2 linked regions of the Daphnia pulex genome follow. The main gene of each other region encodes a partner of the protein of the gene in region 2 in a complex. Links are inferred from orthologs where the notes say so. Each region holds a gene or a part of one and is shown on either strand. Other genes may lie near its edges. The genes, in order: queuine tRNA-ribosyltransferase catalytic subunit 1-like and queuine tRNA-ribosyltransferase accessory subunit 2-like.

Evidence for each region.
Region 1: the proteins of queuine tRNA-ribosyltransferase accessory subunit 2-like (region 2) and queuine tRNA-ribosyltransferase catalytic subunit 1-like are in contact, whole or in part, in a crystal structure (PDB 7OVS), measured with the Mus musculus proteins. The link is inferred for Daphnia pulex from reciprocal best matches to the Homo sapiens genes QTRT2 and QTRT1. Residues at the interface, in NP_001343258.1 of Mus musculus: Arg39, Thr40, Gly41, Ser42, Ala43, Pro44, His45, Leu46, Thr47, His48, Gln49, Thr50, Asn53, Glu70, His71, Glu73, Val74, Glu77, Tyr78, Phe85, Ile86, Gly87, Phe119, Gln342, Glu343, Phe345, Tyr355, Asn359, His360, Ala363; in NP_068688.2 of Mus musculus: Thr50, Thr53, Met54, Lys55, Gly56, Ile57, Thr58, Thr59, Glu60, Gln61, Ser64, Arg80, Pro81, Leu85, Lys88, Ala89, Phe95, Met96, Asn97, Ala307, Lys308, Phe310, Pro320, Thr324, His325, Ala328, Phe329, Ala332, Leu333, His335.

The regions. Positions count from the first base shown.
Region 1 is NC_060021.1:11,355,893-11,372,124, reverse strand, and holds queuine tRNA-ribosyltransferase catalytic subunit 1-like, read left to right. Parts: upstream 1-7,802; 5' UTR 7,803-7,952; coding exon 7,953-8,070; intron 8,071-8,154; coding exon 8,155-8,162; intron 8,163-8,252; coding exon 8,253-8,342; intron 8,343-8,421; coding exon 8,422-8,575; intron 8,576-8,646; coding exon 8,647-8,779; intron 8,780-8,847; coding exon 8,848-9,009; intron 9,010-9,081; coding exon 9,082-9,190; intron 9,191-9,248; coding exon 9,249-9,308; intron 9,309-9,368; coding exon 9,369-9,752; 3' UTR 9,753-9,851; downstream 9,852-16,232. Other genes in the region: LIM domain-binding protein 3-like, read left to right, coding at 1-46; uncharacterized protein LOC124194017, read left to right, coding at 891-899, 959-1,960; tyrosine decarboxylase-like, read left to right, coding at 5,092-5,292, 5,420-5,533, 5,651-5,702, 5,767-5,837, 5,914-6,150, 6,225-6,565, 6,640-6,730, 6,806-6,979 and 1 more; uncharacterized protein LOC124194020, read right to left, coding at 9,885-10,356, 10,413-10,514, 10,583-10,686; uncharacterized protein LOC124194013, read left to right, coding at 11,591-11,750, 11,818-12,033, 12,101-12,156, 12,219-12,363, 12,421-12,636.
Region 2 is NC_060021.1:7,437,601-7,453,568, reverse strand, and holds queuine tRNA-ribosyltransferase accessory subunit 2-like, read right to left. Parts: upstream 7,971-15,968; 5' UTR 7,863-7,970; coding exon 7,746-7,862; intron 7,669-7,745; coding exon 7,519-7,668; intron 7,434-7,518; coding exon 7,351-7,433; intron 7,228-7,350; coding exon 7,035-7,227; intron 6,961-7,034; coding exon 6,772-6,960; intron 6,679-6,771; coding exon 6,600-6,678; intron 6,538-6,599; coding exon 6,453-6,537; intron 6,401-6,452; coding exon 6,257-6,400; intron 6,189-6,256; coding exon 6,063-6,188; intron 5,997-6,062; coding exon 5,879-5,996; 3' UTR 5,851-5,878; downstream 1-5,850. Other genes in the region: uncharacterized protein LOC124194826, read left to right, coding at 162-950; sodium-dependent nutrient amino acid transporter 1-like, read right to left, coding at 1,185-1,331, 1,406-1,500, 1,566-1,626, 1,687-1,805, 1,866-1,907, 1,980-2,037, 2,097-2,273, 2,350-2,536 and 8 more. UniProt on the Homo sapiens protein: Non-catalytic subunit of the queuine tRNA-ribosyltransferase (TGT) that catalyzes the base-exchange of a guanine (G) residue with queuine (Q) at position 34 (anticodon wobble position) in tRNAs with GU(N) anticodons (tRNA-Asp, -Asn, -His and -Tyr), resulting in the hypermodified nucleoside queuosine (7-(((4,5-cis-dihydroxy-2-cyclopenten-1-yl)amino)methyl)-7-deazaguanosine).

The sequences.
Region 1 (16,232 bases), about 3.9 Mb from region 2:
GACTCCAATTACGCCCGAGGATGAAGTTCCATCGCAATACGTTTAATGCCATTTGAAAGTTTTTTTTAAATATCGTGTGACGTTCTTTTTGTTTCTTTTTTGTATGAATTATCCAAGTTCTTAAATATACATGACGAATTGATGACAAACATTTTTGCATAATACTTATTGGTGTATAAGAGTAAACTGAGAAAAGGGTCTTTTTTCGTAAGGTTTGAAGGGAAATGCTAGTAAAATTTGATATTTGGAGAGGGAAATAGTCCCAGAACAAATGCTGCTACGTGCTTACATAACACATTACATAAGTGGCTTATATAACACTCAATTCAATATTCCATGGAACATTTCAAGCGTGACATTTTTTTTCATTTATAATATTTGCCCCACTACATCAATAGTCCTATGGAATAAGGATCGGATCAAGTCAGGATCAAGTAGGAAAATAGCACATCACCAAAAATTTCGTACAAGGCTTGCAGCTATCGCAAGTATGAATATTTAATTAAATCGTGTAGAAATGAATGATATTAGTGAAACCTTGTTGCGTTCTTAGTGTGAGTATATTTCCCATTAAAATGTATTCCATTATTGAAATTAACGAGGAAATTAATCTGTTTTTGTTAAAGCTCGTCAATAATTGCGTACCTTAATGGCTCAGGATGCTGATTAGTTCCGTGAATCAGTTTGATACTAAATTATGGATGTAATCTGGTAATTCATCTTACGACGATTTAAGTCCCTGAAAAACTAATGGGTTTTCTAGAAAGGCTTTGAAGAAACGGCCAGTTCAGTTGCGCCTATAAAACACTGTACGTCTGTCGTTGTTATCATTCAACAGCCGCAGTTCATTTCAGTTGCTCGTTATTCACTAGCTCCGCTGTCACCCAACGATGTCAAAGGTATGTTTCAACTACGATTACCTTAAAAACTTTGTTATTAATTTTTAGTTTAAATTCAGATGCAGATGTGGCTCTTGTTGGCAACGGCCAGTTGTGTGATTGCTCTATCGACTGCCCGACAAGCTCCTATCCGCAATCCAGATGAATCCAACAGAAACAGCGGTTACAACAATGACTACAACAGGCCCACCAATAACCGACCCAATTATAACCGGCCCACCTATAACAATAACAACTATCAGAGGCCTTCTGTTCCAATGGAGTTGCACTTTAATTTCACATTGCCCGAAAATGGACTGCCAGCTATCAAATTGAATATGGGCGCGGTGTCGCAGTACTTGGACGAAATGTATAAGAAGATTTCCTACATGAACAGTTCGTCTGTTCCTTCGAAAATCAAGAAAACTCTGCTCGTCAATATCAAGAACCCCAACAAACCAGTCAGACCCATTCCGGCCGAAGTCTTTGCCGCCGGTTTGCCAAGAGGAGCCTTGATTCCGGGTGATGTCGTCAAGCCGTGCCGCAAATTCATCATCTCCACCTGTAACATCCTGTGCACGGTGCAGCAGACCAGCTGCCGTTCAATTTGCGATGGCCGAGTCGACTGTCTCGCAGGCTGTGAAACGAGTCTTAGAACTTGCGCCAGCTTCTGCGATTCGACTTTCAGTCAGATGGATATCAAATTGGCAGAGGCTGCAAACGCCCTCAAGGACCAAATTGAACAAATTGATAGTGTAGTACAAATCGCGAGTAAAGTACCACTGATTGATGAATTCCAAAATGAAATTCCAAACTTCAAGTTTTACTTGCCAAAGTGTCTTCAAAATTGTGGCTCCAACGCAACTTGCACCAACCAATGTCATTATATCTGTCACAGCGTATTGGAAAAGCCCATTGCACAGTACGCTCAGACTCAGTATTCACCGGTTAATTATGCACGTCCTAACGTTCCTGCTCTTCCAAGTGGCTACCCAGTTGGTTCAGGAATAAGAGAAGGTGATGGTTCCGATGTCAACGATGAGCTGCTGAAAGATGATGACACAGAAAATGAAAAACGCTAATTTTTTCGTCTAAACTTTTATTAAATTAATTTGTATTGATTTCGCGCTTTCGTGTATTATTTGTGCTGTTTGCTCGCAATCATTACACTTGTTCAACTATGACAAAAATTATTCCAACTAGCATCAGCATCAGCAGGTACGGGTTTCAACTGTGAAACATTAAATGCCCACAAGGAAACTATACTGGAGAGTCTTATTGTGGCGGTTTGGGTCCAAGAGTATAATTATCTGTGGGTTTACATTTATCTTGAGAGTGGTAAGGGGACTCACGAGTGTAACTTGAAGAGACGAAATATTTGAAACTAACATAGTCCCGATCCGTTCAGTGGATGTCGAGAACGAGTGAGAAAACCGCTTTTTTATCGCTTTTGAGCAGTTTAGATTTACCGCCCCCCCCGGACCAATTAGAAGATAGTGTCGTCTGCTTTCAATTTGTTTTCGCTCGGACACTTTTTCGTAAGTTTCGAAAAAGAGACGAAGTTTGAGATTATTAGATTACAAAGAAAATGGATCACTGTTTTTAGAAACGTACGTGGCCGTACGAAAAGTAGGACAATAAATTAAATTATAAAAATGTGGTTGTGTGAACTCTGGTGTCAAGTCTCCATGCTCTCCACTCCATGCTGTTTGGCAGGTATTTAAATAAAACTACACATGGAATGATTTGGGAGCTTAAATACTAGAGTTTAACCTGTTCCAAAGTTGTGAAATGCCTGACTAGTATTTCTCATGTAAGCCCGCTGTAGGTGCATGGCAATTTAATTGCTCTACGACTTTCTCCTTTGTGCAGCTTTGAGGCCTGAGACAGCCATCATAGCAACAAGAAGATATAGTAGTATGCAAGTTTTGCTTGTGTTGGACTGTCATCAGCAACAATCTCATTATTATCACTAGGATAACGATTTGGGTTACTTTTATTCCTGCGACCTGCTATATATTTTAATGATGCATGACTTGCACATATGACAGTGTATTCATAGAAACCTTAAATTGTCCTGTTTCTTGACAATTAGGATTTGCCCAGTGTCTCATTTTCAACTTTTCCTTACTTGTTTCTTTCAATATTTTTTTTCGTAACCCAATTTACATTTTTCCTTTAGATACACAGCATCACAATTATTGGAGAAACTAGGATGTACTTCCCCTTCCTTAAATCTCCTCTGTTCTCATGTACATCAATGTGAGTGCATGGGTATATTCACAAGGACGTCCTTTTTCTTATCCCGCCTGGCAGGTCCAACTTTTCAGCGGATGGAAGTCATGGAACACTTGTGGATGCCTGAGCCTGACCGTATTCTCGAGTCTTTTAAAAGGTAGAAAACATTTATTTATATTCTTTTTGACTATTTGGTGGGATTGATTATAAATAGATCAGGCCCAGTTTTGCACCACGCAACTTTGTCTGTGGGTTTAAACAAGAAAATTCGAAATTTTTTTTTAACTTTAAACACTTTTTTTAAAAAAAAGCAAGGTGCAACCAGAAAATTATATGACCAAGAGGGACCTGCCACCACATTGGCATCTCCTGGTTAAGTAAAAAGAGAAAATTATACAGGAATGTGTTTTTTTATTGGTTTCTGCCGTTTGAACATCAAATTATGGACATTTGAAGGACGATCGATTGATTGTGCCGTTAATGATGTGGATGAGTCATCATATTGTCTTGCGGGATTCCCACCGGCCACCTAGACGAAGGCTACTGACAAATTGTGATGTCCAATCGTGAAGTGTTTAAGTTTACTGACGCCAAAATCGATAGGAAAGCCTAGGTTGCTTTAACAAGGTTTTCCATTTTCCGTATTACCATTGTCATTGAAAATGGACTTCATTAGTACCTGGTAGTTTTTTTTTCTTTCGTTGCCACTTTTCCTCCACAAAAGTATTTGATCATGAACGTTGCGCAATATTTATTTTTTTTAAACGACCTTCACATTGGAAATTCCTAACCTTCCCCCTTAATTTCCGTAGTGTGATTTTTATAGTAGCTTACTTCATTTTCCTTTTCTTCGTCCCAAGGACTTTGTGAAAAGCCCAGAAATCTGCTGATGTATTTGACCATAGATAATGACCATGATTCTAGTCGCTTTCACAGTCGTCACCTTTTCTACACTTCATCGAGTCTCTTGATCGCATTTCCAATATGGTCTAGAAAATTAAAAAGGGCAAGGTTAATCAAAAAACGAATAAAATATAATCATGAGTTTTTTTGTACGCCGTGAGCTCAACCTTCCGGAATTAAGTGAAACGCAATTAAGATTATTTTTGTTTGTGGTTTGAACTGAGTTGCCCTTGACCACTACTTCAAAACACCCATTTATATTTGAAATGCGATACTAGAGATTGATTTAAATAGCAGCAGACTATGTTGAATGTTAATGATACAGAAGCTTGCGAAGATTTTGTCAAAGTGTTAACCGGTTCTCGTGAAATTTACAGTTTTCTAATTCTTCTTCTTCTTGTTCTCATTCCAGAAATAATTACACTCGTTCGAAACCGGCCAATTTTCCAGAAAACAGGTCATTATTTCTTTGTCTATTAAAAACATCTCAATTTTCTTACGATATCAGCTAGACAAACAAAATTGGTTCGTCAATGGAAAGAATGAATCGATATTCAGTGTTTTCGTCTTACGTAAACAGAGTCTGTATAGACCCGCCTCTATTTTTTGGCCGATACACTCTGCTATCGTTCAACCGCGTTCAACCACGTTCAACCACAACGGTTGCAAATTTACGTATCTCTAATAATTATGGTCAAAGCAACAGTCTCTACAGCCCCATATGAGTTTGCTATAAAAGCCCTGGATTTCTTCACCAACAAACAGTGGCGATCTAACTCGGTACGTGTGCAGATAGTCGAGAGCAATCCGTGTGAAAATCTACCAACCAACAAAGTGAGTTCTAACTGTTAATTTTAAGTCAATTAATGTTGAAATAATGCTAATCTTAATTGACGAGAGTAGATTCACGATAACCATTCATTCATGTGATGCTAGAGCTCTGAAAGTCTTCTAGTTAAATCAAATTTCAGCCAAAAGCGCTGCAGAAGCAGAGCAGAGCAGAATAAAACCCAACAATTTTTCGGTTTTTATTCAAATAGGTCAAGAGTCTATCACCAAATTCACACGGAGAATGGACAGCGCAGAATTCCGTCAGCGCGGTCGAGAGATGGTCGACTACATCGTCGAGTACATGGAGACGTTGGGTGAGCGACGTGTGACTCCTTCCGTTGAGCCAGGATACCTTCGTGAAATTATCCCGAAGAATGCACCCGAAGAGGGTGAAAAATGGGAGGAGATCATGTCGGATGTGGAGTCTAAAATTATGCCCGGCGTAAGATCAAACATGTTTATTTTTAAATATTATTATGCTTAATAGGTGAAGACGATGAAGTAATCATCGTACTTCGCAATAAAGAAACTTAGATATTTACGTAACCGTGTGCTCCTGAATGTGACAGGTTGCACATTGGCAGCACCCGCGGTTTCACGCTTACTTCCCATCGGGTAATTCGTTCCCGTCCATTCTTGGTGACATGCTTTCTGACGGCATCGGGGCCATTGGTTTCTCCTGGGTAAGGCCAATCATTGTTGTTAAATTGAAAAAAAATATTCGAGACTGAATTTCACCACCAATAACAATCTGAATTCTAATTTAAAATGCAACCCATTTGAATTCCTTTTTCATACAGGCCGCCAGCCCCGCTTGCACTGAACTAGAAACGATCGTTTTAGATTGGCTAGGTAAATGCCGTAATGCTTTCTTTGTATAAGTGAAATAATAAAACTTATGATTTCTTTCACTCAGGGCAAATGATCGGCCTTCCGGACGAATTTTTATCCTTTTCTGATAACAGCAAAGGCGGCGGTGTCATGCAGGTAATGTTTCGAAGACAAAATATCATTTATTGCCACGAGATAAATATTCGTTTTTAATGTGTGCGCATCACTTTAGTCTTCGGCTAGTGAATGTGTCTTGGTTAGTCTTTTGGCTGCCCGTGCCCAAAAAATCAAAGAACTCAAAACATTGCATCCATTCGTCGAAGAAGGTGTCCTGCTTTCAAAATTGGTCGCTTATTGTTCGAAGGAGGCTCATTCATGCGTTGAAAAAGCGGCAATGATTGCTTTCACGAAACTGCGTATTCTTGACCCCGATGAGAACTTGAGTCTGCGAGGCACTACTCTGGCTCAGGTATAATCAGATGACTTGGCATTTTCTGATTTTCGTTGTAATGCGGTTTCAAACCCTAATAATTATCTTTTAAGGCAATCGAAGAAGATCGAGCGCTGGGTTTGATTCCGTTCTTTGTTTCAGCCACATTGGGAACCACTTCCTGCGTCTCATTTGATAACTTGGCAGAAATCGGCAAGAAAAATATTCCTTTTTTTCCCAACAATTACGAGACAGATTTAATTATTCTTAATTTACCGATAGGTCCGATTGCTCAGGAGGCTGGAACATGGCTTCATGTCGATGCAGCCTATGCTGGTAATGCGTTCATCTGCCCTGAATTCAAATATTTAATGGACGGCATTGAATTTGCAATGTCTTTCAATACAAATCCTAACAAGTGGTTGCTAACCAACTTTGACTGCTCTACTATGTGGTGAATACTTTTTCCATTATACTTTCAATTTACTCTTATTATTTTCTAATTATAACTTAAATGGAAAATTTAAGGGTCCGTGATCGCTTCAAGTTAACTCAAGCCATGGTAGTAGATCCACTTTATTTGCAACACAGTCATTCTGGAAAAGCTATCGATTATAGGGTAACAATTGTTTATTGCTATAAATTTAAAATTATACTAACTATTACGGTTGGATATGACGTTGCTTTTTGTTAGCACTGGGGTATTCCTTTGAGTCGCCGCTTCCGCGCACTTAAACTATGGTTTGTCATCCGCAATTACGGTGTAGCAGGATTGCAAAAATATATTCGCGAGCATTGCCGTCTGGCCAAATGTTTTGAATCACTTGTTAAAGCCGACGAGCGCTTTGAAGTGTGTAACACTGTCAAGGTACAATGTCCACATCAAATAACTACCAATTAGTACACTAATCATAAACATTTTTATGTTTGCAGATGGGATTAGTGTGTTTTCGTGTGAAGGGTGACAATGAACTGAATCAGAAACTTTTGTTAAACATCAACGCCTCTGGTAAACTGCACATGGTCCCGGCTTCCATCCACGGACGGTTTATCATTCGCTTCTGTGTCTGCGCACAAGATGCCAAGGATTCTGACATTGAATACGCGTGGAACGTGATAACTGATTTTGCGACAGAGTTGCTGAATGAAGAGGTCAACCTAAGTAAATCTGTAGTTTCTCTGGATGGCCTGGAGAGCTGTGATGAGGAGCTGGTTCAGCATATAGATCAACTGGAAATTTCAGAGCTGATGGATTTAATGGAAACCGTACAATTCCCTATCCAAAAACCTCACAGAAAGCACGGTAGTTGGCTAAAACTACTTGGAACCAGAGTTAGAAAAATTGTGAAGAATGGTGATTCTCATTGAATGTAAATGTCTTTTCATTTTCGTCTTGGTGCAACGTGAAAGCAATTCCTAATTTTTTCTCGCATTCTTCTCAAAATCGGTTGAAAAAGATTATCGTTACCGGACACAGCGTCATGATATATCAGGTGATGGAACAAATGGAAATTTGGCAATTATTTCATATTCACATATTTTTGTTTAAAAATCATATGAAATAAAATTGATCAAAAAAAGAAAAATGTACTTTCGTTATTGTCCCCGAAATTGTGAAAAGATAACAAAACGGTGTTTTTGTTTGAAAATCTTGTTTTCCCGGGTTTTTCTGTATTCTGACTTCTGAGGCGTCTGCTGTAAACACTAAACAGTAACAGCTACACACATCGAAGTAATTCACGTGTGAAAGTCTATCGATGTGCAAGGTTTTTTTGCTGTGACTTACGTGGATAATTTTCTAATTGTTCCGAAGTAATATTTTCTTTCGATTAAATTTCACCATGACTCGCCATCCTTTGACGTTTCAAGTTTTAGCGCAGTGCAAAACAACTAAAGCAAAATGCTCTCGAATGACGTTACCTCACCACGTTGTTGAGACACCGGTTTTTATGCCAGTTGGTAAAAGAAAACAGATATTATTATTTTTTTCATTCAATTAAAAACAAGACGAAGAAAAATTACAGAAATGTTGTCTTTTTTCAGGAACACAGGTAACACATCAACTCGGAGATGAATAATTTATTGGTTCCGGTAACTGATAAAATGCCAGACGCTTAAACAACATGCACTTTTTATTCTAGGGCTCGTTAAAAGGTATAGTACCTGAGCAATTGGAGCAACTTAATTGTCAAATCTTGCTTGGAAATACATATCATTTAGGGAACAGACCGGTAAAGCAATACAACAAATTCAATACAAAATTTGAAACTGTGCTAATTAAAACAGGGCTTACACTTTTTAAAATAATAGGGCCCTGATCTGTTGGAGAGTTGTGGTGGGCTGCATAACTTTATGGGCTGGTCCAGAAATTTGTTAACTGATTCTGGTGGATTTCAGATGGTCTCGTTACTAGAGCTAGCTGAGATCACAGAGGAGGGAGTGAAATTTAAATCTCCTTATGATGGTATTTCATCAAATCAATGTAAAAAACTTAATGTGTTAACTTATTTGTTTACTTTTTATAATTTATTGAAGGAAGTGAGTGTTTGTTAACACCTGAGAGATCCATAGAGATTCAAAATGCTATTGGTGCAGACATCATCATGCAATTGGATGATGTAGTAAGTTCAACAGTATCAGGACCTCGAGTTGAAGAAGCAATGCACAGGTAACTGATTTTATAAAGATTATATTATTACATAAAGAGTTAAATTGACAAGATTATCTATTTTCTAGAACTACGAGGTGGTTAGACCGCTGTTTGAAAGCCCATAAGCGGCCGGAAGCTCAAAATCTTTTTCCTATAGTTCAAGGGGGCTTAGATCCGAAATTGCGAACTGAAAGTGCTAAGCAATTGATGGACAGAGATGTTGCAGGTTTTGCAATTGGTGGTTTAAGGTATATTAAGTTAATATTATCAATAATTTAAGGAGAATTTTGCTAACTCGACTGATCGAATTCTTTCTTTAGTGGAGGCGAAGGAAAGGACCAATTCTGGAGAATGGTTCATTTATCTACGGATCTTCTCCCAAACGACAAACCAAGATATCTAATGGGTGTTGGGTTTGCTACTGATCTCGTAAAAACATTTATCATAAGCATTTAAAAAAAGTGGAAATAATTTTTTTATTCTTTAGGTTGTTTGTTGCGCCTTAGGTTGCGACATGTTTGATTGTGTTTTTCCAACACGAACAGCTGTAAGTTATTTTTTAAACAACATAAATATTTCATTTTTGTAACTTCGTTAATTTCTTAAGAGATTCGGGTGTGCACTGGTTGAAACTGGACAACTGAATTTGAAGTTAAAGTCTTTCGCGCAAGATTTTCGCCCTATAGATGAAAACTGTGAGTGCTCCACTTGCCGACGTTATACAAGGGCGTACCTTCACACCATTGCAACGGTAGAGACTGTAGCTTGCAATCTTATTACCGTCCACAACGTTGCATATCAGCTAAAGTTGATGCGTAATATTCGTGAGAACATTTTGAAAGGGACTTTTGTCGACTTTATCTTTAATTTCATGGATACCATGTACCCAAAAAAGGATTTTCCTGTTTGGGCCACGGATGCTCTAAGAGTTGTCAATATTGATTTGTACGAGCGTGGCAGTATGCACAAGCATCAACAGGTTGATTGTTAAAAAATGTATTTTAAACTTGAAAAATAACAAGTGCGCTGGATCTGCGCAAAATAATTTGGATGTTGCAATTGTCACATTACATTGGAAAAATGGCAATGAGACAGCATTGTTTTTCTTTGATAATTTTCAAATCTAAATGGATCCCTTAACCCAATCAATTTCTAAAGTTGCTGGTCCAGACTGTTTATGCTCTTCATAAACTCCACCATAGTATTGAAAGCCAAAACTGGTTATGTTGGTGCTATCTAGAGGTTCTGCATTCTGCAATGGTTGGCCTCTCCAATAGGGTTGGAATTTGTTAAGTGGTAGATTTAGCTCTTGAAATTCATTTGTAGCAGTGAAAAATTGTTCATAGCTTGGAGATCCATCACCCACTTCACCATGATGCTTAAGAATGATTTTGAAATTAGTTGCTTGACCTTGTCCTCTTATTTTCATTCTTATGGAAGAGAAACCAGACAAATCAAAGTCCACTGCTGTACGAACTCCAGCAAATCCTGCTCCATTGGGCTGAGGATTGAGCAGAGCAAAGAAAATTGCTCGCTGAAAGAGTTGTGCCTTCTGAAGCAGAATTGTAGCCTTTGACATTCCTGGCTGGCGTACTCTATAATAATAATGTGGTTACTTGAATGCAAAGTATTATTTGTAAAGAGATATTACGTGTCAGATGATTCAATCCAATTACTGACATCAGCATTAGAATCAGTGAAATCAAAGAGGGTTACATCTTCACCAGCATTCATGCAAGCTTGATTCCTTGAGCTGGAACAAAAAATAAGGAAATAAACAATTTGTTAAAACTAAAACTAAATGTAACAACTTCTGCTTACGATAAAGTAGAAGTCGATAAGCATGCCACTGACGAATGATAACTTGATGCTAGAGTTCCAACAAGGATAGCTCCCGCAACTTTAAGCCCAATATTAGCAACCATTTTTTGTGTTCCAGAAGAAACCAGCGCTTTTATCAATATAGTTATTTGAATACTAGCTCAACCACAACAAAGAACAAAAAGTGCACCACTGGGAAAACGGAGAATCATCTGAGTATTTTGCAGACACATAAAAAAAGTTTCTAAAACTTACGTCGCTCATAATTTATTTCCTAGTAATATTGAATTAATGGAATTTTCTCTTTGTCAAAACTTGTTTATTATTATTCTTACCCCCAAACCCCCGAAAAAATGTATAAATAAAAAAAAATCACCTTGAATTCATACCGACGATAGCTCAGATGGTAGAGCGGAGGACTGTAGCGGCAATCGAAATCCTTAGGTCACTGGTTCAATTCCGGTTCGTCGGAATCCTTTTTTCTTTTCAATTTTAATGTCCGTGTACAAAGTTCATTAAATACACAAATGATAGTTTTAAAAATATGTTCTTCACTTTGTTTTGACCTGGCTTAGTTACAATTTCAGCTCATTTATTATTTCTGCAATTTTTTGTATTTTTATTTTCATTCGTTTTATTTTTAGAAACAAATGCGAACTATTACAATATTTGACGAAAACATCCGCACAAACTAATTCGCGCGCTGCTCGCTTCCTTAATTCCACCCAACCGAGTGCAGTGCTCACTCTAATTTACAACATACAGAGATTGAGATACACACCATTCTTCTAATCTTCTGGTCGAACGACCCATTTTTCCCGCCCAATACCGCGTTGGTATTTTTTCTTTTCCCCCCATCCGGATGGCGCATGGGCCTTGGATTTCATACGTAGTACATTATTGGTTCACAGGTGGCGCAAATGTTGGGCTGTCCTATCCTATTCAAGGGCATTCCTCAGGAAGTTGTCACATTAAAAACAAAAGATTCATCAAAACAAAGATGTGAAAATGATGCGACTATCAAGGATTCATCTTTTCGTTTTTTTCGTGTATCTATGGGTGTATTGTCCAGTAAATGGAATCTCTAATATTTTCAAAGGTTTACCACCTTTATTTGATTTGAGTTTATCGAATAACGATACTTCTGTGAACGTAACTGTTCATCAAGGTACATGGGTTTTCTATGGCTTCCATGCTCTAGTTTATGTTCTAATTTGTCTTACCTTATTGATAAGATGCAAAAGAGATTTGCATTCCACCTTTATTACTGCATGGCTCAGTTGACCCAGTGAAAAGCCAGTACAAATCTCAGGATGTTATAAGGATCATTTGTAAAGATGGGTACGAATTGGAGAACCCGCAAAGCAGTCTTCTGTACTGCTCTCAAAAAGGCCTATGGAAGGTTTTTACCTTGGGAGATTCTATTTACATCCCATTACCGCGGTGTATAGGTAATTCAAATGTAATGACAATTATAAAACCATTTAGTTATTTTAAACTTTATTTACTATTTTGCAGTCAAAGAGAGATGCCCCCCATTGCCACCATTGATGCAAGGAAGTATGCAAGTACAGGTATAATTTGTTTAACTATTACACTTGTCAGAATAATTTCATTGCCCATGTCTAATTCGTAGGAAGGGGGAGTAAATGCAGTCACATCTGAACTAAGTTCCACTCGTGCAGTTTACCAGTGTTGGTTTGGCCTTGAATTAGATCCACCAGAAAGTGAAATCAGATATTGTGTTCGAGGAAAATGGACAGGAGAAAACCCTTTATGTGGTAATAAGATAAACATCGAATTTAACATGACACGTGGAATCAATTCAATTTGATTAGTTCCAGCTAGCTGCCCTCGTCCACCGTCCGTTACAGGAGGATTCTTTATTGCAAGAGGTGTTGTCAACCACATCTACGTGTCCGGAGCTGCTGTCAAGTACTATTGTGATGAGGGTCATCATCAAAAGGGCCCACCACTCCTCACGTGTTCCGGAAAAGAATGGATCCCCAAAGATCTTCCGGCTTGTGTGCCGATAGAATCGTCAGCTGCTGCTGGTAAGTCCCTGTTTACTTCTTGTCGTAGCTACTAGATGGAGTCTTTTGGTCTTTTGCGTACTATTTAAAAAAAAAGGAAGGAACCCACAAAACCTGAAATACGGAAAACTTGTCAATCGGTCTGGTTCTTTTCTCCTCGCGTAAATCTATTCATCGATTGTTGTTAGGCCGTCCTATATTAGAGGCGAAGATTAACACTTGGTGTTTTTGGTCCTGAAAGATTTATGATTCAATTGAGTTTATCTGAACGTTTAGAGCTAGAGGAACCGTTGTGGTCGTTTTCTTTTTCCCTTTCCAACCGAATGGTACAGTTTCGACTCTTATCTTTCCAAAGTCAAGGAAAAGTCTCTTCTATCTCACTTTTTTGTCTCAATGCATTTACACGAGAGGTGTCGATCGTGCTGGCGATAGGATGTTATTCCTGATCGCGCACGAGTCGTGCTATTTATTACCGTCTTCTCCAATAACTTGAAAATGGGGGTGTTGTACAGTTCTACCATCCATCCATCCACGACCATTGGGTTTAGCTCGTGAATAAATTTCCCCGAGCAGTCAACAAATGACTCCTTTCTCTCACTCCTTTACTCACTCGGCATTGCAAATACCATCACCGTGTGTCTGTCGTTCCAAGAAAAACTCCTCCCTTTCTTGTAATGATATTGACTTATGCTAATCCGTCAGTAGAAGTTGCTGATGGGGTTTTCGACTTGTTTGATGGATTAACGTGACTTTTGCACAGTACATATCCCGCGTCTTTTCGAGCCATCGAGCCGTGAACCAATTGAAAAAGAAAAAATAACCCCGGAGACGACAGCGACTTTCATTTTATTGGTTTTTCACACGTATAGAATCTTGGACATAGTGGCTGCTGGAACTTTGTTGAAAGAGAGAGAGAGAAAGAGATAGGATAAATTGCTTGGTGTTCCAAGTTGACCTTCTTGGCTTAATGAATACCAGGCAGAACAGACAGAGAGAGATGGAGCGAGAGAAAGAAAGAGAAAAGAATCTTTCTTCTTTTTTCTTCTTGTTATTCTTCCAGTTTGGAAAATGAAGAGAAAATGACGCCGGAGGAAATCTTTTTGTGTGAAAAGTAAGGGGTTGGAATGTTTGACCCATGGCCAGTCTCAATAATAATGAAGGGGTTACTGTAGCGAGAGAGCGAACGAACGAACTCGAGTGCAAAACTGTTTTGGTTGCTTCCACACTGTTTTGTGTACGGGACAGTTTAATGAAGTGAGAGTTTTCTTTCTCAGTTTTTTTTTTTTCTTTTTTTTTAAGAGTTATTTTGTTTTTTCTTCTCAGCTTCTTCCTCCGGTTGCTACTCTCGAGGCGCTAGCTGCTTGTTTCAGCCAAAGAGTCTATCATTTGGTTCGGCCGGTCGTTAAAAACAAAAACGAAAGAAGAAGAAAAAAACTCAACAAAACAAACTGTTCTTTCTCTCATTCGTAAAACAACAACAGCACGGCTATTTTTTTTTCTCCCTTCCTCTTCGTGATAAAATATTTTTTTATTTCGTTACTTTTTCGACAAGAGGTAACACCTTGCCCGTTTCGCTCTCCCCTCGGCTCTTTATTTTTCCTCTCTTTCACGCACGATCTCTAAGATAAAGAAGAAGAAGAAAAAAAGCGACGACGACGACAGACCACAAGGGACCATCATTCTAACTGTTTAGTGTATATAGATATAGATATATTATCCACCAATCTAATCTCCTGTAACACACAAGTCTCTCTCTCTCTCTCTAGCTGTAGTCTCTATCTATTTTCTTCCTTTTGCCGCTTTATATCTCCGCGGCTCATTCTCTTAACTCGTTTTTCCATCTGCCTCCCTCTCGCCGCTCGAATAATGATAATAATAATAATAACAACACAACGACTACTACTACTTCTGCTTTTTTCCCCTAGTCGTCGAGGCTCTCTTATATCCCCAACGAGAATAAATGAATAGTTTGAAGCGAGTGTGAGAAATGATTAGATTTCGCTTAATTGAAGGGTATTATGGTGCAAGAGTGGGAGCTCTTTACATACTGTGCAGAGAAACTGTTCATTGTTCGTCTTTCTCTTAAGAAAAAAAAAATTTTGGAAAAAAAGTTAAAGAGACGCCCAGAATCTTTTTCACGCTGCCACCTTTTTTTTTTAAAAAATTCCCTTTTTTGCCTTTTGTACACATAGAAGAAAATTTCCAATTCGTTCATTTCCAGTTTCAAAAGTTTTTTTTTTTTTTTTCCTCTTTTGGTTTTTTGTTTTCTCTCTTTATCTTTCCACACTTAATTGGACGGGAATAATGCTAATGTCGGTAGAGTACTACACAACACACCCAAGCGCATTATCCCGTGTTTCACGAAAAGACATGGTCGGAGATGGGAAATTCCGGATGGATGAGAGAGAGAGAGAGAACTAGCCGATGGCCTCAAGTTAGATATGAAAACCCCCCAAAAACACGAAAGCCAAAAGAAAAGAAAAAATAAGCAAACAAAAAATAGAAAAACTTGAAAATGTTTTGAGGGTGTTTAATAGCTATAAAATAGGGGAAAGAAAAAGAAGAGTCGACTTAAAAAATAAACTCTTTTTTTTTTTCTCCCTCCTTTTTTTTAACGACCATTATGCAAAGTGCGTTGCCGCCGCAACCGCCGCCGCCGCCCATGCGCATCCGTCCCCTGTCATTAAGTGCCTCCTCCCGCGCGACACAAACATACATGTGTGGTGGGCTCTCTGTTGGTTGGTTGTTTTATTTGACCTTTTGCCATTGGTGTAACCTGGCGAATCGTTTAACAATCAAAGGTCCCAATCCCAGCAACTCGTCATCGATTTCCCGCCGATGCGGAAACCATTTCGACTCTGCACGACGGAAGTGTTTCGACGTGGTTGATCAATTTTCAATTTGATCCATCATTTAATACACACTGAGGCGGGATCATTGCGAGGGGAGTATTCGATTTGTGAAGCAAAGGGGCGAAGCTGGTTTTACTACTCTTGCGTGTCATCGACGTGGTTATTTTTTGGTTTGTGTGATGAGAAAAATCGTGATGATTTGTCGATGAGAAATTTGAAGCTGTTGAGCGGCAGCCGTGAGAGTCGGTCATGCCCAATGAATCATCGTTAACGTGTACTAGTAGTAGCGTAGTTGTTGGTTGTTGTTGTAGTAGTTGTTACTAGTGATGCCGGCATTTTCACGTAATCAAGCTTTTGCTTCAACCCTTTTTTGCCTTTTTCTTCTTCATTGGTTTCGAGCAATCAGACTCCCGTTGTGTGTCGAGTTGACCACTCTCCGTTGATTGAACAAGAGCCCTTTTCCTCCTCCTCTCTCTCTCTGCATACATTTGAAAAAAAAAAAATCCATCGTCGTGCCAATGTGTTGTGAAAGTTCCCTTAGATTTTGTTTCGGTTCTGACCGACCTCCCCGTGTCTTTCGCCGTCCATTCGGTACGTGCTCTATCGCTCGGTCGTGTCCTGAATAGCTGCTTATACGAGCACCGTAAGACCCGTACGGAAAGGAGGGCACAAAATTTCAATAGCATTACGCAACTGATTTGTTTTTTTTTGTTTTTTTGTTTTCGTACCCATATAAATGTACACATATTTTGTTTCTTTGAGGGG
Region 2 (15,968 bases):
TTGTTAAAATGAAATTGTTCGCTTCTATTAAGTGCCTTTTCCGTCGTGGAAGACGGTATGATTTCCTTAAGGGGGAAAACGTAGAAGACCCCTGTTTCCTTCTATCGTTTCAAAGCATAAAAGATGACTTCATTCGTAAAGAAACATCTACTTCTGACGTGATGCCAAATTCCGATCTTCCGGCGCAGATCTCTAAAATAGAGTCAAATGGATCAATGAAACTTCCTCTTCTGCCGCAGTTTGGTAGGATTGAGACGACTGGACTTGTGGATAACCCAACTGTTCCGGCGCAGACCGTCGAAACAGAGGAACATGGATGTATGGATAACTCTGTTCCAGCGCAGAGCACCGGGATCAAGAAAACGGGCATGGATTTATCTGAACAGATTATGGATATTGAATCCTCCCGGCCACTCTTTTGTCAGCGCGACTTGGGAAACCTCGCCCCTAAAACCGAAGGACTAGTCACCGGCAAATGTGACGTAACTCCTGAGTCGGAAAAGACCGTGTTGGTCGGAACTGACATTTCCGTCACTTGTCCTGAGAACAAGTTTTGCATTAGTCTTCCTCAGGTCGTAAAACGAGGAAATAAGAAAACTTGCATCGACAACTTTTCACTGCTTTGCAAAGAACTTGGTAGAGATCTACGCCACGTATCATCGTTTATCCTATCCGAGTTGGGAGCTAGTGGAGTTCTAACCAAAGATGACTACCCATCTCTCGTGCTGTCTTCCCCAGGAAGAGGATACATCAGTCATAAGAAGATTGAAGACATTTTGCGTCTCTATGCGTTGGAATACGTCTTGTGTCACGAATGCCACTCTCCAGATACAATTCTCACACAGGACGAGAATAAATGTTTCGTTCTTGAGTGTGATTCGTGGGTTACTTGCGGTGCAGTATGCTCAGTGGCACCCATTAAATACAGGAAGCGTGTTCAAAGAGCCTAAAATTTCGGAATAATATTGTCTTACACCTTGTGAGTTATTCCATCTGTTCCTTGGGTGAGACATAATTTGGATTGTTTTGATGAGTTGTACTGGTAGTAAATACATTCTCTTTCCACTGTGTTCGTTTTACAAATAGTAATTTATTTTCTGGCGTTATAACTTTCAACAGACCTATTGTTTAAAACCGGTCTTTATATAATAGGAATCACACGATTAGACCTTTAAATACGTTTCCTAGTGCGATTTACAGCTTCTGGTCCATTTGGGATTGGGAATCCATGAGAATCTTATAGGTTGCTTATTGTATTCTAACCAGTCACGTTTGATTCCAGGATTTTTGGGTCCCCATTCAGCTGCCGGCCGAAGACTAGCTTCGAATCGCTGAGTATTATTAACGAATTTAATTGTTAGTTTGATTCATTTAAAAAAAGAGATAACTATATAATAAGGCAGACCTGAATCCAGTTATTTCCTTGTTGTTTGCGAACAACTAAAGCTCCCCATATCGGAATTTGAAGTATGGCAATAGCAGCCAATACCCACCCAGCAGCTAATAAATACATTATAAGACGTGTTATTTTATCACCGTTACGTAACAACTTAAATTGTACTTACCGTTTGCGGCGGGAGGGTAAGGTTCTCCATCGTCAGTCTTCAACGGTTCATAAACAACCATCTGAAGTGAAAGTAGAATGAATTACATACCTGGTGTTACGATTAATTTTTGTATATTTACAGCATAGATAAAGATGACTGCTAGAGCAATTGGGATTAAAAAGCACCATGTGAATTTCCAATAAATTCCCAATCCGAATCCCAACATGTAGCGAATATCGTTGACTATTTGCTTGAGTCCTGTAAAAATCATAAAGATTAATCGTATAACTGAATTTGGTTAAACATTTTGAATTATACCATAAATCCAACAGACAGCAATAGTCTCAGCGATCACCATAACTAGAAATTTTAATTATTTTATCAAACCAACATTTAAAAAAAAAACTGCCATTTGTAAACCAAAAAGCCTACTGTAAATGATGAATCCTCCGCCAAAATAATCCACCAAATCCAGAATATACTGGCCTCCCTGTTCAAACAAATAAATTGTATGCAGAAAATTTCAAAACGAGCTTGATATTAGTTTACCGGAGTAACGTAAACAAGTCCAATGAGGAAGCTGGCGGCGCAAACAAATGCAGTGACAATCCAACGGGGAATGTGTGGTAAATCATCAGACAGTATAGTAATAATACATCCGGCAAGTCCGGATGCGCTTCCGATCGCAAGAGTAATCAGCATCAAAAAGAAGAGCACGGCGAATAACTATTGAACGTCAACACACAAAATTAATTAAAATGTGTTTAAATGAATTATTTATGTGCGTAAAATCTGATTAGACCTGAGGGACTGCATCAAATTTCGATATAGCTTCCGGATACGAAATGAAAGCTAACCCGGTTCCACCTTGAACAACATTTTCGATGGGTTGATTTGTTTCATAAGCTAAATTGCCAAGAATTGAGAAAATGGTGACTCCAGCCAGAATGCTGGTAAAAGTATCCGCCAAGCTGACGATAGTTGAATCTCTACATGGAGACATAAACTACTGAACGAATAACCAAACTGAATCGTTAGTAAAATTGCTATTACCTGTAAATCGGATGGCGGAATGGGTTGTAGCTGGAAAAAGTTGAAATCGGTCCAAAGCCAACCGACAAAGAGAAGAAACACTGCGTCACAGCTGCGTACCAAACCTAAGCATAATTTTTCTGTTTAATCAAGATGACCTTTCAAATTATGTACACGTGAAGGGAAAATATTTACATCTGGTGTTAAAACTTTTTCCCAGTCAGGTGTGATAAAGTACAAGATGCCGTCACCTGCTCCGGGTAAAGTGCAACCTCGTATAAGAAGCGTGATAAGTACGACATAAGGAAAAAGGGCTGTGAAATAAGCCACCTTTCCTGACGAGGATCTATTTAATCGTGATGATTAAGGTTATGTAATTGCAGTAGGCGACATTTTAAACAGTCTGTACTTACACTCCTTTGGCGAGCATTGCGAATACTAAAATCCAGCACAGCAGGAGACACAAAGTTAGTCGCCAATCTGGAGTCCCGATGCCATCATCCATATTGGGAATTTTCTTCAGGACATAAATGCTGAACAGACAGATAGTTAAATAAATCGAATCACATGTGGAGAAAAATTTTGTTACGCACTAGAAATATTCTTCTGCACTGGACACACTAGTGTTAGTCAGATTAGCCATCGATAGATTAGCTGTGGTACTGTAGCAATTTTCAGTTGCCCATTCAGGATCGCATTCAGTCCAGGGCAAAACAGCTTGGAATGAAGCAAAGAGGTAGAAAAAGGCCAAGGCCATCAAGACACAGTAGTAAGTGACGACACACCAGGTAGCCAGCGCTTGTCCGTATCCAATACCTTATAACAAAAATAGGGTTAAATTATTTCATTCTTGTAGTAAATATCTACTCGGTGTTACCTTTAGCAAATGGTACACAGTCCCAAATTTTGACGGATCCTGAACTTGAAAATTGTCCAAGGATCATCTCGAGGAAATAAAGTGGCCGTCCAATGAAGACCAGCACGATTAGGTACGGAATTAAGAAAGCACCACCTCCATTCTCATAGGCAACGAACGGAAACCGCCAAATGTTACCCAATCCGACCGACATTGAAATACAAGAGAGAAGAAACTCTACAGGATTGTCCCAATTTTCTCGTTCCGGTTGATCTTCACCTTCATTCTGTTTAATTTTCGATGGAATTTCCTTATTGAAAACATTATTTTGATTACATTAAACTGTGAATTTTACTTGTGTTATTATCACTGCGGGAGCTTCCGTGTCAATATTCTTTTCGCACATATTGCCATCAGGTGAACCATCGTCAAATGCGTGATTGACGAAGCCAGCGCTTTGCTCAGACTGTAATTGAATAAATAATAAATATTCAAATAAATATGTAATTCAAAGTTTTCCTTACCGAATTAGACGACATTGTAGACATGGTAATGATCCAACGAATCGGTTGTAAATGACCATAAACTGCTCCGAATGGAATAAAGAAATACTGGGCCGCAAAATATATAAATTGATCTAATTTTTATAGCTCACACATTGCGTCAGTTGTGAAAGGTTTCTGATAATAAACTAATTCTTTGCTGCCAAGACATTTCTTTGGCGGGTATCCTACAAAGTTTAAAGAAGAGTTAGTTATCACTCTACTCAAGTGCTTAAGGAAAGCTTACAACACATAAATATTACAAACTTACCGAGGGTGCGTATCACGTGTGCTTCTCTTTTCCTTAAATGTTGTAAAGTTGCGGTCGTAAATTGTGGAGTCAAGGTTTTCTTTCCGAAGTGACAGGTTAGCTCATTGAGTACGACGTAAAAGCGTTTATCTCACGACCTTACACTGTATTATCCTTCACGTTACAAAGGTTATTTAGTCGCATGGGTTGTTTCAAATGTTTAAGGCTTACATGAGAAGGTAAAACTTGAAAAAGTAATTTGTTTAAAGGATTAAACGTAGCGAAGTATAGTTGATCTCAACCAACCTCTAAAAAAAGATGATTAGGATCGTCGAGTACAAGATAAGCTACCTCATCAACATTCTTTCAGTTTTTTAGTTTTCATTATTTGTGCTTTATGATGGATAATAAAATTTTATTCAAGTTTAACGTGAATACGTAAACCATTGAATAATTAAAAAAGATAAAAATGTTGTCTTGAAAATCCAAGATCTAGAGTGACGGGAAGAACCAGTTGGATTCTCTATACCAAGGAATCGGGGATTAGGTTTTGTGTTTTGGAATTTAGATTAGTAGAGATTGATTTTGGTTTGAAATGAGTATTTTGGATTAGATTTTGTGTTCGGATTAATGTAATAATGTACTGATGAATGCTTAATGTACTTCTGAATGAAGCTATTCGTCCCTGAATCCGCAGATTGCCGAAATAAAAGCGGATGCATCCTTGATCGGTCCCGCACCTGATGGTCCACCGGAACGAAAAATCCGCACAGAAACTTCCACTAGAACTTTTCAAAGGAGGTCCGTTCCACCGGAATGGGAGGAAATTGCTATCTTTCCCCATAATTGAGATTGAAAAATGATTTCTAGTTTTTGGCACGGTGCGCCCTATCAAGGAAAAATTAAACTCGTTTCTATACTTTCTGTTATTCGAATTAACGACCTGGCATGCGAGGAAGAATACAATGATTCTCTCTAATATGTATCTGTTATTTTTATTTGAAGCCGAAATTTTTAACCTTAACATTGACCTCTGCAGAACTCTCCGAAAAGCTATTTTAAGACATTAGAAATGGGTTAAGGCCGTTTAACTTCCGAGCCATAAAAATGCTTTATAAGTATCTTTATAGGCCTACGACAGCATAATCGTAACTCTGTTTCGTTAGATTATTAAAATTTTTTCTTGCCATACAGCGCACCGTGGGTCAGCACAACTAAAATGCCTTAAAACTCGCATTTACCCATTTACCAACTATTACCTCAAAGGTTCGGTTTTAAAAAGGCAATAAAAAACCGTTTTACCGTCATAACCTAAAAACTCGGAGCCTCAAGAAATAGCGCCCTTTTTCGTCCTTATTTTCACAGGAAGGCAACTGCGTCCTCATAAATGAGAAAATAAACATTCGACTTAAAATTAGTAAAACAAAATCGCCTTACCAAGTCGAAATTCTAATTAAACCCACTGAATGCATGGCTCTACGTGTTGGAGCCAATAAAACTCTATGCGCACTTCCGCCCGAGCACTTTTCCGTGTTCGAATCCACAGTGTGCGGAGACTCTGTTATTAAACATTTACAAATCCTTTGCCGATTTTAAATTAAAAAAAGTAGAGAAATAGAACTATTAAAAAAAAAAGTTAAATTTGTTATTTTCAGTTTCTGCGGGAGGAAACAAACAGATCAAGCTTAGATTGCAGAGCTTGTAATTCATTGTCCTTAATGGCCTGCTGAATACTTTTAAAGAAGTTGATGTAGTGATGAAGATTGTGCCTGTAAAAAGAAAAAAAAAATAATGATGTCGAACGAGGCAATGAAAGCAGCTATAGTAATCAGTACATCATTATCAGGATAGGCCCTTGAAGTTCACCCGTTGCGGTCAAATGGTGAACGTAACTTCGCGAATACTTGCGGCAGCTATAGCAAGAGCAGCCTTCTAATAAAGGTCTGGTGTCACTGAAGTATCTAGTGATTATTATGTTAATTACAATTAGGTATGTGAAAATCGAGAAATTTAGAAGCAATCGGCTTACATTTTGTCTTTGAGATTTATTTCGTAGACTCGATCCACTGATTCGTCATTGCTGTTATCATCTGCAAGTTTGGCAACTTTTTGGTCCGTTGCAACTACTGCTGGGGCTTTCACGCTTGGCAATGTTTCAGTAACAGGAGCGTTTCTGTTAATTAAATAATTACTGCATGAATATCGAAAAACGTAGTGATTATTACTCTTTGGACAGTGAATTAGGAAAAACCAGCGCACCCCCTCGTTCTGCAACTAGCCACGGAAACGTTGCATCAAAAATATCAATGCCTGTTTTAAAGATTAAGACTTATTAAGAACTTTGGCGAGATTCGAAGATTTTAAATCCTTACCCTTAGATACGAGTTTCAGTAGCACGATAGGTGTAATGGGTCCATGAAATGCTCGAGGTAGATTTTCCGGAAGTGAACCCTGTAATTAAAACCCCAAAAAATGTTTTATACAATCTGAATGTGTTCCACGGCTCTCTAGTGTCTGCCAAGACAAGAATGATTGATAACGTACCAAAGTTTCCGTTAAAACTGGCTCCACGTCTTCCCAGAGTAAATTCGTGGCAGATTCTCCGTTTGTGTGGAATCCTTCGATAACATAACCAGCAGCACCAAAACCTTTTAATTCGTTTATACAGCGCAATCTTTCTTTAATATTGTATCCCCCAGTTATACAAGCTAACATGGGAGTGTCTTTTAAAACCTGGGGAGTGTAGAAAAAAAAAAAACTGAAAATGTAAATTTACTGTTTTTGAAAAAGAAACACATGTTACATACATCAGACTTTTCTTTCAGGTCAGCACAAATACCAGCAAACTTGACAGTAACATCAACAGACTTTCTAACCCTTTTAGCTGAACTGCTTTGAGTTGTATCTCCATCAACTATCGCTTGAAACATGTCTGGTTTCAATGCTTCAATGCAAGATATGTAAGTCTGGGGGTCAATCAGTTTCCTTCCACCTCTTGTCCTATAAAAATATAAGATAGTATATCAGTAGCCAAAGCCAAAGAGTGCTCTAAATTAAAAAATTGGCATCACAATTGTTGAGGTGGATAGGAACAGAGTAAAAAAAAAGTTATCCAGCATTTACCACAGAGAAATGGAATTCTTTTCATGGTAGCCCTCAGGTGTTGTAGTGCCAGAATCTTGCACAGACACATAATTTAAATATTCCTAAAAAGAAAGATTATATAATTCTTGTTTCACTTTCAGGACAAAGTAGTCAAGATGCGATCATCCACATGACAAGATCAACAACCTTTAAACCTGCAAACTCAGCTATTCCTTTTCCGAATGCTTTCACATTTTTTGTGTGATCAACAAGCGTAACCAGAGGCATCTGAAGCATGTGGTGCCCAGTTGAAACCATTTGTAAGAGATCATAGCTCAAATGTGGAACAGAAGCACCCTATGGTTAAAAAGATAATGACAGAATCACGTTAAAAATGCAACAACATTTGATCGTAGGTAGAAAGATAATCATACACGAGTGTGTAGCAAAAGTAATGGGGTTTCGAATACAGCCTCTGGGATTCGAGCAAATTCCGTTAACGAGCCTAGTCTGGCACTGGATTCGGCCACCAAAGATACAGCAAATTTCATATTATTATACAAATCAGTTGCACTGTCACGCAAAAAACCTCTTCGAAACCAAATTATTTCACGTGAGTCTCAAACACTGAACGACCTGTCGTAGCAGACGACAATTTTGTTGATTTGGATGAATACAATCGGCAGCGATGTCGTCGGCGCCAAATTCGATTGTCAGCATGACATTAGATCAATAAATCGCTTTTGGTATGAATAATAGACGACAAAAGATCAATGAATGACTCGTATGATGGTAAGAAAAAGATGCAATTCACGGTCAAGCGAGAAATTTTGGATTTAGACGTAGTATCTTCAATGAAAGAGAAGTTATGCGGTCGTCTGGCCTGTAGCGATAAATCTTTGAGTCGAACAGCCGCAAAGCTCCGACGATTTCCCGTAGTGAAACCTGGCACAACATGCCAAACCAATCGCCGGTGATAAGTAATTATCGAGTGAAAATCTCGCCCCATTTTTTCTTTTCACTTTGGTCGATCGGCCAGCCGAATTCGATTCCAGGAAAAGTCGCCCATCGGCGCTCATCGAAAGCTTTTCTCGACAAATAAGCGGAAGCCAAGAAAACTAACAAAAATATACTCTTCTTTGAACTGCTTCGTTGGCCGAAGATACAACAACAACTAGATACATCTTAATCATTTGCCCAGGAAAAAGCAAACAATCACCTGCAAAACAATCCGGTTTTTTTGTTTTTGTTTCATTTCGCCGATCTACCCATTGACCCATTATTATCTACATATGTAAACTAATCACATGCACGAAAACAACACAAAAGTCGGAATACATTTTTTTCCCCGGAAAAAAAACCAAAAATTAAAATTGATCGGAAAACGAATGTTTCATGTATTTAGATCACGGCCTATTTTCCCGTCAATTTATGACATGTCATCTGACAGTATATAGCGGCGCTCATTCACAGTTGTCTGTCCGGTTCGTTTTTGCCTCCCGGCAGAAGGTCTGCCCCGATGTCTTTCTCTTTCTCTTCTCTTTTAAAAAAAAAAGCCATTTTCTCATTTCTATCTAAGGGTATTTCGCCAACTCCCGAAGAAGAAGAACAGGAACAACAACAGCGTCTAGGACCTGTTCCTTTTGACTACAGGTCGAGTCCAAGTATAGCCCTACTTATCGAATAACTTGAGCAGCTCGCACGCTCAAATGTTTTTTCTTCTTCTTTCTTATATTGCTGACACGACACGACTGGCAGGCTCGTTATTATACGCATGCACAATAAACTGACAGCAGCCATAAGAAATGCCTTCGTCTTTTGTTGTAAACAAATAAAAAGAAGAAGAAGAAGCGCGGGGAAACAACGAAAAAATCGTTCATTTGAAAGCTAAACTTATTAGGAATAAAAAAAACGGGATGAAAGGCTAAACGCCGACGCAAACACTAATATTACAAAACGCCAGGCAATAAGATATAGTATATAGTAGTAGTTTTATAGCTGAAATAATATGCCATCCCTCAGAATTTTTATATTTCTTTCATTTTTAGTGAAACAGTTGGCGAGCGCGATGAGGAGCTAGCGAACAAAAACCCCACGTTGTTTTCATTTCTTGTTTTAGTTGCCATATTTCTTTTGGGTTTTTTGTTTCTTCTTTTTCTGACTTCCAACAGTCAGCAAGACAAATTGAAACGATTGTTGACGAGAAAGTTCGCGGGAGCGGGAGCGGGGGGTGGTTGGCTTTTCTTCGTTCAACGCGTTTTATTGAAAGTCGCTCTCACGGATATGCGCGGTCGATTAGAATATGGAAATTCCCGGTGGCAGGAGGAGGCAGGAGAATCCACATTGATGTGAGATCATCATTCACGAAGGAAACGCTCCACATATCAGACACGAAATAATACAAAAGAAAAACCAACGCACAATCTGTTATATGTATACACGGCCATCATCTCTCTATCTACCCCGACAGAAAAATAATAAAAACCGCTACACAAGAGAGAAATTTGAATGTGGTAATTGAAAAAAAGAAAAAGAAAAACAGATGAAAAGATAACAGACGGACGGAAGTTGCATTACTTTTTTTTCCGAGGGAGGTGGTGGGTGATGGATCGCGTCGTCTACACGCGGATGATTATTCCAGAAATATTTCAACCGTCTCCGCGATTGGGTTTTCCTACATCTGTGCATCTTTTTCTACACGCGTGTTGTTTTGTAAGAAAGGCAAAAAAAAAAAAAAAAAAATCCCCAATTTTTCTTTGTGTTTAGCGTGAAATGGTGGACCATATTTCTATATAATATCTGGTGGTGGTGGTGGTGGTGGTGGTGGGTGTGCGACGACGATTCGACATAGCGCCATAGTCGGTGATCCGGCCGCGGTCTGGGAAATAAAGGAGGAATCGAGGGCGTGTGTTATTATTATTATTACATGTGGGACCGGTTGGTATATAGTGGAGGTGAGCTGTAACCACTGCAATATAATCTCCCCTATGCCCCGAAACACACCAAGTGAGAGAAAACAACACACACATAGGCATTTATAAATATAGCAGATGAGAGACCGCATTCGATTCGCACTACTACCGGCCGTATAATCAATTCAGTTTCCCACATCGGCCGGCCACTGTACAGTATTTTTTTGTTTTTTCGTTCACGCCCTTAAGGCAGCGAAGCTACTACTATCCTGTACAGTATGTATGTATACACATCTATACGAAGCAATCTCCGCTTTCTACGTTGACCTTTGCACAGCAATTGCCGGCAACTGCCAAGTTCATCAAGTCTTGGCGATGAGTATTTGAAATTCCATAGTCGTATCGATTATTTGCGGTGGTTGCGATTGGTGTAGATACAAATCCAACAGGTGGCCAGGTTATACAGACAGTCATCTCGTCGTCGACAAAGATCTCCCGTGTCGTCCGGGCGCGGACACACATAAAAGAGCGTCGAAATGGTCGAGGATATCACACAAGAGTTTGAGACTAGCTGGGCTCCGCACACAGCAGTCGCAGTGGCAATTTGGTCATCGAGGAGAAACGAGTGAGAGAGAGAAAGAAAGAAAAAGAAAGGGGAGAAAGAGAAAGAAAATAAGAAAGAAGGAGGTGCAGACTGCAGACGGGAGAGTTCGTGTGTAGCAGCAGAGCTGCTCCCTGCTGATTCCAACTGTGCCAGTCGTTCTGTCAGTGCCGGACGGGCAGGAAGCAAAAACCCCACAGTCTCTTTTGATTTTCTCTTGCTCGTTTTTTCTTCTTATCCTTGATTGCTGCACTGAACAATTCGAAAATTCCAGGGAATAAGAACAAGCTGACTCTCTCGTCCGTTATTCATTTCCACCCCCCAAAAGTGCATTCAACTCAACAGTTTCTCAGTTTGACCAGTCAACAACAACCCCCCAAAAAAGCTCTTGTCGAAAATGATGGAAGGAGATTTGAAACTGGCCCAGGCCCTGGCCCGAATCAGTACCAACAATTCGAGGAGTAACAGTCCGGCCCGAACTGGCAGTCCCAACCCGGGAGCGGACGGCGGCGGGACGGCGGCGACCGACGACGCCATGAAAACGCATGCGTCCATGGTCCTGGAAAAGATCCAAGGCTTCAGGTGAGTGAGTAGTAAATATATTCCATTACACCTGGACAAAACTGTTGAACAAAAATTCCCCTGCCCGTTTCGGTGTCGATGGGCGAAGAGGTTGTCAAAGTTTCTCCTCGGCTCCATTCCAAATCGGGTGCCGGGACACACTGTGCAAACAGCACACACGAGAGAGGCTAGCTTGGTCGGTCGTCATGATTCACGCGCACTTTTCCCTATAGATAGCGGCTGCTGGCTGTTTCACTCTCTCGACTCACGCGCACGTATGAATGAAGCAATCGCTAACCTCATTCGCCAAAAAGATTTATACCGAAAGATTCCCGTGCCGTGAGTCTCGTCTAAGTAGATAATCATTCAATTTGCGGGTATACACCAACCCGTCCCCTCCAACCAAAACACACAGCAACGGTCGCTGGCGTTCGCAACCTCTTGTTGCCTATTCGCTGCGGAGGGGGGGTTGTTGTGTGTTGTCTTGGGGGGGATAACAACAACAACCACCAGCCAGAGTCAAGTACTATATATCTCGACTTTATTACAGCATGTGCACGCCAGATCGTGACAAAGATGGCGTGCTGTTCCGGTGGAGAAAAATCCCGACACAGTAGACGCGCCCTGGCACGTCTTTTTGCCCGTAGTTATATTAGAGTATTAGACGTACACACATTTACGTTACGACTCCTCCCTTCTCTACCGACAAGTTGGGGGCTCCCATTAACCTCAATCCGACCTCATAGTCTGCGGCCGCCGTCCGGGAAACACAAAAAAAAAAAAAAAATAAGAAAATGTTTTTTTTCGGTTGGCGCTCATTTTCAATTGACTTAACCTCCCGTTGCGATCATCTCGTTCCTACACCCAGCGGGGGTGTTGAACACACTGAGCTCATAGGAAAAATCTCCAGAAAAAAAAAAAAAATTATTTAGGAGCTCGGGAAGATGTTTGGCCGCGCCGTGAGGAGGCCACCACCACGTCAATTGCTCCGTTTTTTGTTTTCTTCTTTTTCGGGAAACTGAAACGCGCGTTCAGTAAAGCGTTAATGATCTATTCCCGGTTCGAGTCGGATACATAGCCCGCAGCTGCTGCTCCTTTTATCCCGAGAGAGAGAGAGTCCGACTCGATTGGCGTCTAATATCAAAGGCCCCTAGTAAAAAGGAGGCAGACAACCGACAACTTCTACCATCATAAGGGATCGTGAATCGTGTGCACGCCGACCTTGTTTGACTTTGAATGGTGGGGAGTATTGCAGTCGATTAGATGAGCAGCTCACGAAGTCGTTACGAGATCAGACAATCGATACGGGAAAAATAAAAAAAAAATATGAAAAGCCCCGAGGGGTTTTTGGGTGAACAATGAGGACAAAGAGCAAACGAGAGAGAACTACTCATATGCGTCCCTCAGATGCTGCGGTCGATATATAACGCGGCGCAGAGGAGGGGATTGAACTGTCAACAGTTTTTCACGATGATAATGAAGAAGGAAATCTCTCATCGTGAATATAGGCGGTCGGAAAACATAATGGTCGCCGCCATTTGCCACGGATCCTCCTTCTTCTTCTATTGAAGAAAAAAAAAACAAGTCAAACAAGAGCCCGGATAAGTATGGGAGGCTCCACTTCTACACACAACTCTTCCAGATGCAAATATACATGTAGACGAAAGCTTTTTCTTTCTTCAAGGCGGACGAGAAGCCGGTCTCTACACGTTGATTCTTCTTCTTATTATTATTTTCACAATAGAAAGCTCAGACTAGCGTCGAATCGGGGACAAGCCAACCACTAATCATTTCTATACTACTCCTAGTTTTGCATATATCTCCTCTCCCTGCTGGCCGTTTTCATTTCTCTCGCAGACGTTCATTTCGGCGATGGCCAGACGAGTGTGCGTTTGATTCTAACGTCCGTGTCAACGCGGTTGCCCAGCATCTGCCGCCGCTACAAAGTCACGTCGCTCGTATCCTCCCGTAAATGTAGGTCTCTCTTCATAACCGTCTCAGTTGATGGCTGCTGCTGCTATACCATCAATTATCACGACGGTCGACGGCCGTCAGCACGAAAGAATTACAAAAATATCAAATAAAAGAGCGGCGCTTCTTCTTTCCTGTATCGGTCGTTATCCATTAGCCGTCATCAAAGTCAATCTATCTTGAGCGCGCAACACACATTTTCTTTTTTTATTATTATTATTATTATTTGGGCGAGAAAACGAGTTCCCGTTGAACGTATACGGCATCAGCATTCCGGCGTGATTTTCAAACATTTGCATTCGAACACTCCATCAAGAGCATATACAGAACAGACTATACTTTCACCTCCGCAACGGCAGACACACACGCAGAGATTAAGTCGGCAAGATTAAGATATCAAAAAGGAGGGACTGCCATGGGAAAAGAAAAAAATAGACGATTGAGACACACGACGACGATGGAAATAATTTAGAGGAGAGAGAAAAAAGGTGCTGGACGCTTGGAATAGAATGAAAAAAAGATTTCTAATTTCTTTTTCTTCCTATTCGTCGGTGGGCGAAAGCAAAACAAGAATTGGAACACAGTTCCAAGTTTCCTTCTATATACCCATTTTGACGGCATTTTATTTATTTTTTTTTTTTACCTGGTGGGAGGTGTAATTGTGTTTTCAAAATCGCTGGGTCAGTCCCCAATAATAATCGACGCTGCGCTATTATCACGTCAAATACTGTATATATAAATACCAGATTGGCGCTTTTCTTATTTCTTTTTTCTCATTCGGACTGTTTCAACTCTCCGAGGCAGATTTAGATTTACCAGCGACAAACAATAGAAAACTCGTTATATAACCATCATTCATCTTTTGCGGTTTCTCAGCCCACGTAATATTGTTCATTCCCGTTTTTTTTATCCCTTCTATTTATTTTCTGTAGTATTGCGCAACTCGCTTCTGGGTTTTATTTTAATGAATCAAGAACTAAGCGCCATCTATTGAATTCTTTAACAAAAATTTTAAATCGAAATTAATTTGACCGCTAGATGACTTCAACGATCAATTCCAGTATTATCCGGAATCAAAGTGCTAGCGGCTTCGCTGGCGGAAGTCAAATTATTTTTAGCGATCAATAAAAATGGCAATTATTCGAGCGGAATGAAATCAATCAGCGTGAAAACAATAAAACGCGCACACACACACACACAAAATTGTTTAACTTTTTTTTTTGCATCGACAAGGTTAAAGCGATTGGCCTTGCATTGGGGTTTTATTTTTCTTCCGGAAAAAGGCCTGACTTGTCAAAAAGGAAGTAATTTTCCAACCTTTAGAAAAGAAAAAGAAAAGAAACCTACGCACAAGCCCAAACGTCAAGATGACGATCACACTTGGCACAACAGAGGAACGCAAATAATGTTGGAGGGCTTTGTGTCGACCTTCTGTAGCCAGTCAATCCATTTTGATTCGGCGCAGTCAACTGGAAACGAAACCCCTCCAAAAGAATTCCGGACACATAATAAAAAAACATAGAGGAAAAATGGAAGCTGTCAGGAAGGTTCAGCCTCAAGATTTATTGTCGGGTTGCCACAACATTTGCGATTGCGTAGTCGAGGCTCTACAGAGGAAAGAACAGCGGACGATCCAATCATGCGAGTTGCAAGCGCGGTGAGTCAGACACAATTTTCTGTTATTACCATATTATACAGCGAGAAGGATACAGCACAGTGTGTTGTATACATAACATATACATTATACAACACACACACAGATAGATGAAAAAAGGAAACAGACGGCATTGTACGAAGGTCAGAGAAAACCAGCCACACATTGTGTGTGTGTGTGTGATGGCAACTATTTCCAACAAGCGAAATTGCTGCAACCGATAAAAATGTGTGTGGGGGGGAAAACAACCGAATTTTTACGGCGAATTTGTTTTTTCTTTTTTCCTCAATTTGGGTTTTGGGTATGAGATTACAGAGAGAGCCAATTAAAAATCGAATTGCTCCACTTGGTTGAAATAAAAACGGAAGATGTGCCGTCAATGCCAAGGGCTTATGGGAGCTGTACAACGAAATATCAGTTCTAAACTGATAACGACAAGTTTGTTATTTTTATGTAACTCTGATGATAATAGTGTACATGGCAATTCTCGGCCGACAGTCTTTCAAAGCGGTTCGGACAGTTCAGGACTTTCATTTTCTCTCTCGCGGGATCATCGTTGGGCGAATGAGAAAAACAAGTTCTATCAAATCAGACTTGATCAAAATTGTGTGCTACAACTAACATTCCGAGGGGGCAATTCCACAGAAACATTTCCTCTTGGGCGTCCTCGTGAGTGTATCTTGTTTTCGGGTCTCTTTTTGATTTTATTGTAATGAAAGGGGAGAAAGAAGAATACATGCAACATTAGCTCAAGGGGAAATCAAAAGCTTTTGTTTAGTACCGTATAAAGCCTGAAAAAGGTGTATGGACAGACCTGAGAGATAGAGAGAGAGAGGAGGCCACCAATGCTAGGTGTGTTTTAACTTTTCCCTTTTTTCTTATTCATTTCGCCTGGACAAAAAAACAAACTCTCTCTGTTTTGTGCGCGCGGTTGGTCACAGTCGGCTCCAGTGTCTTG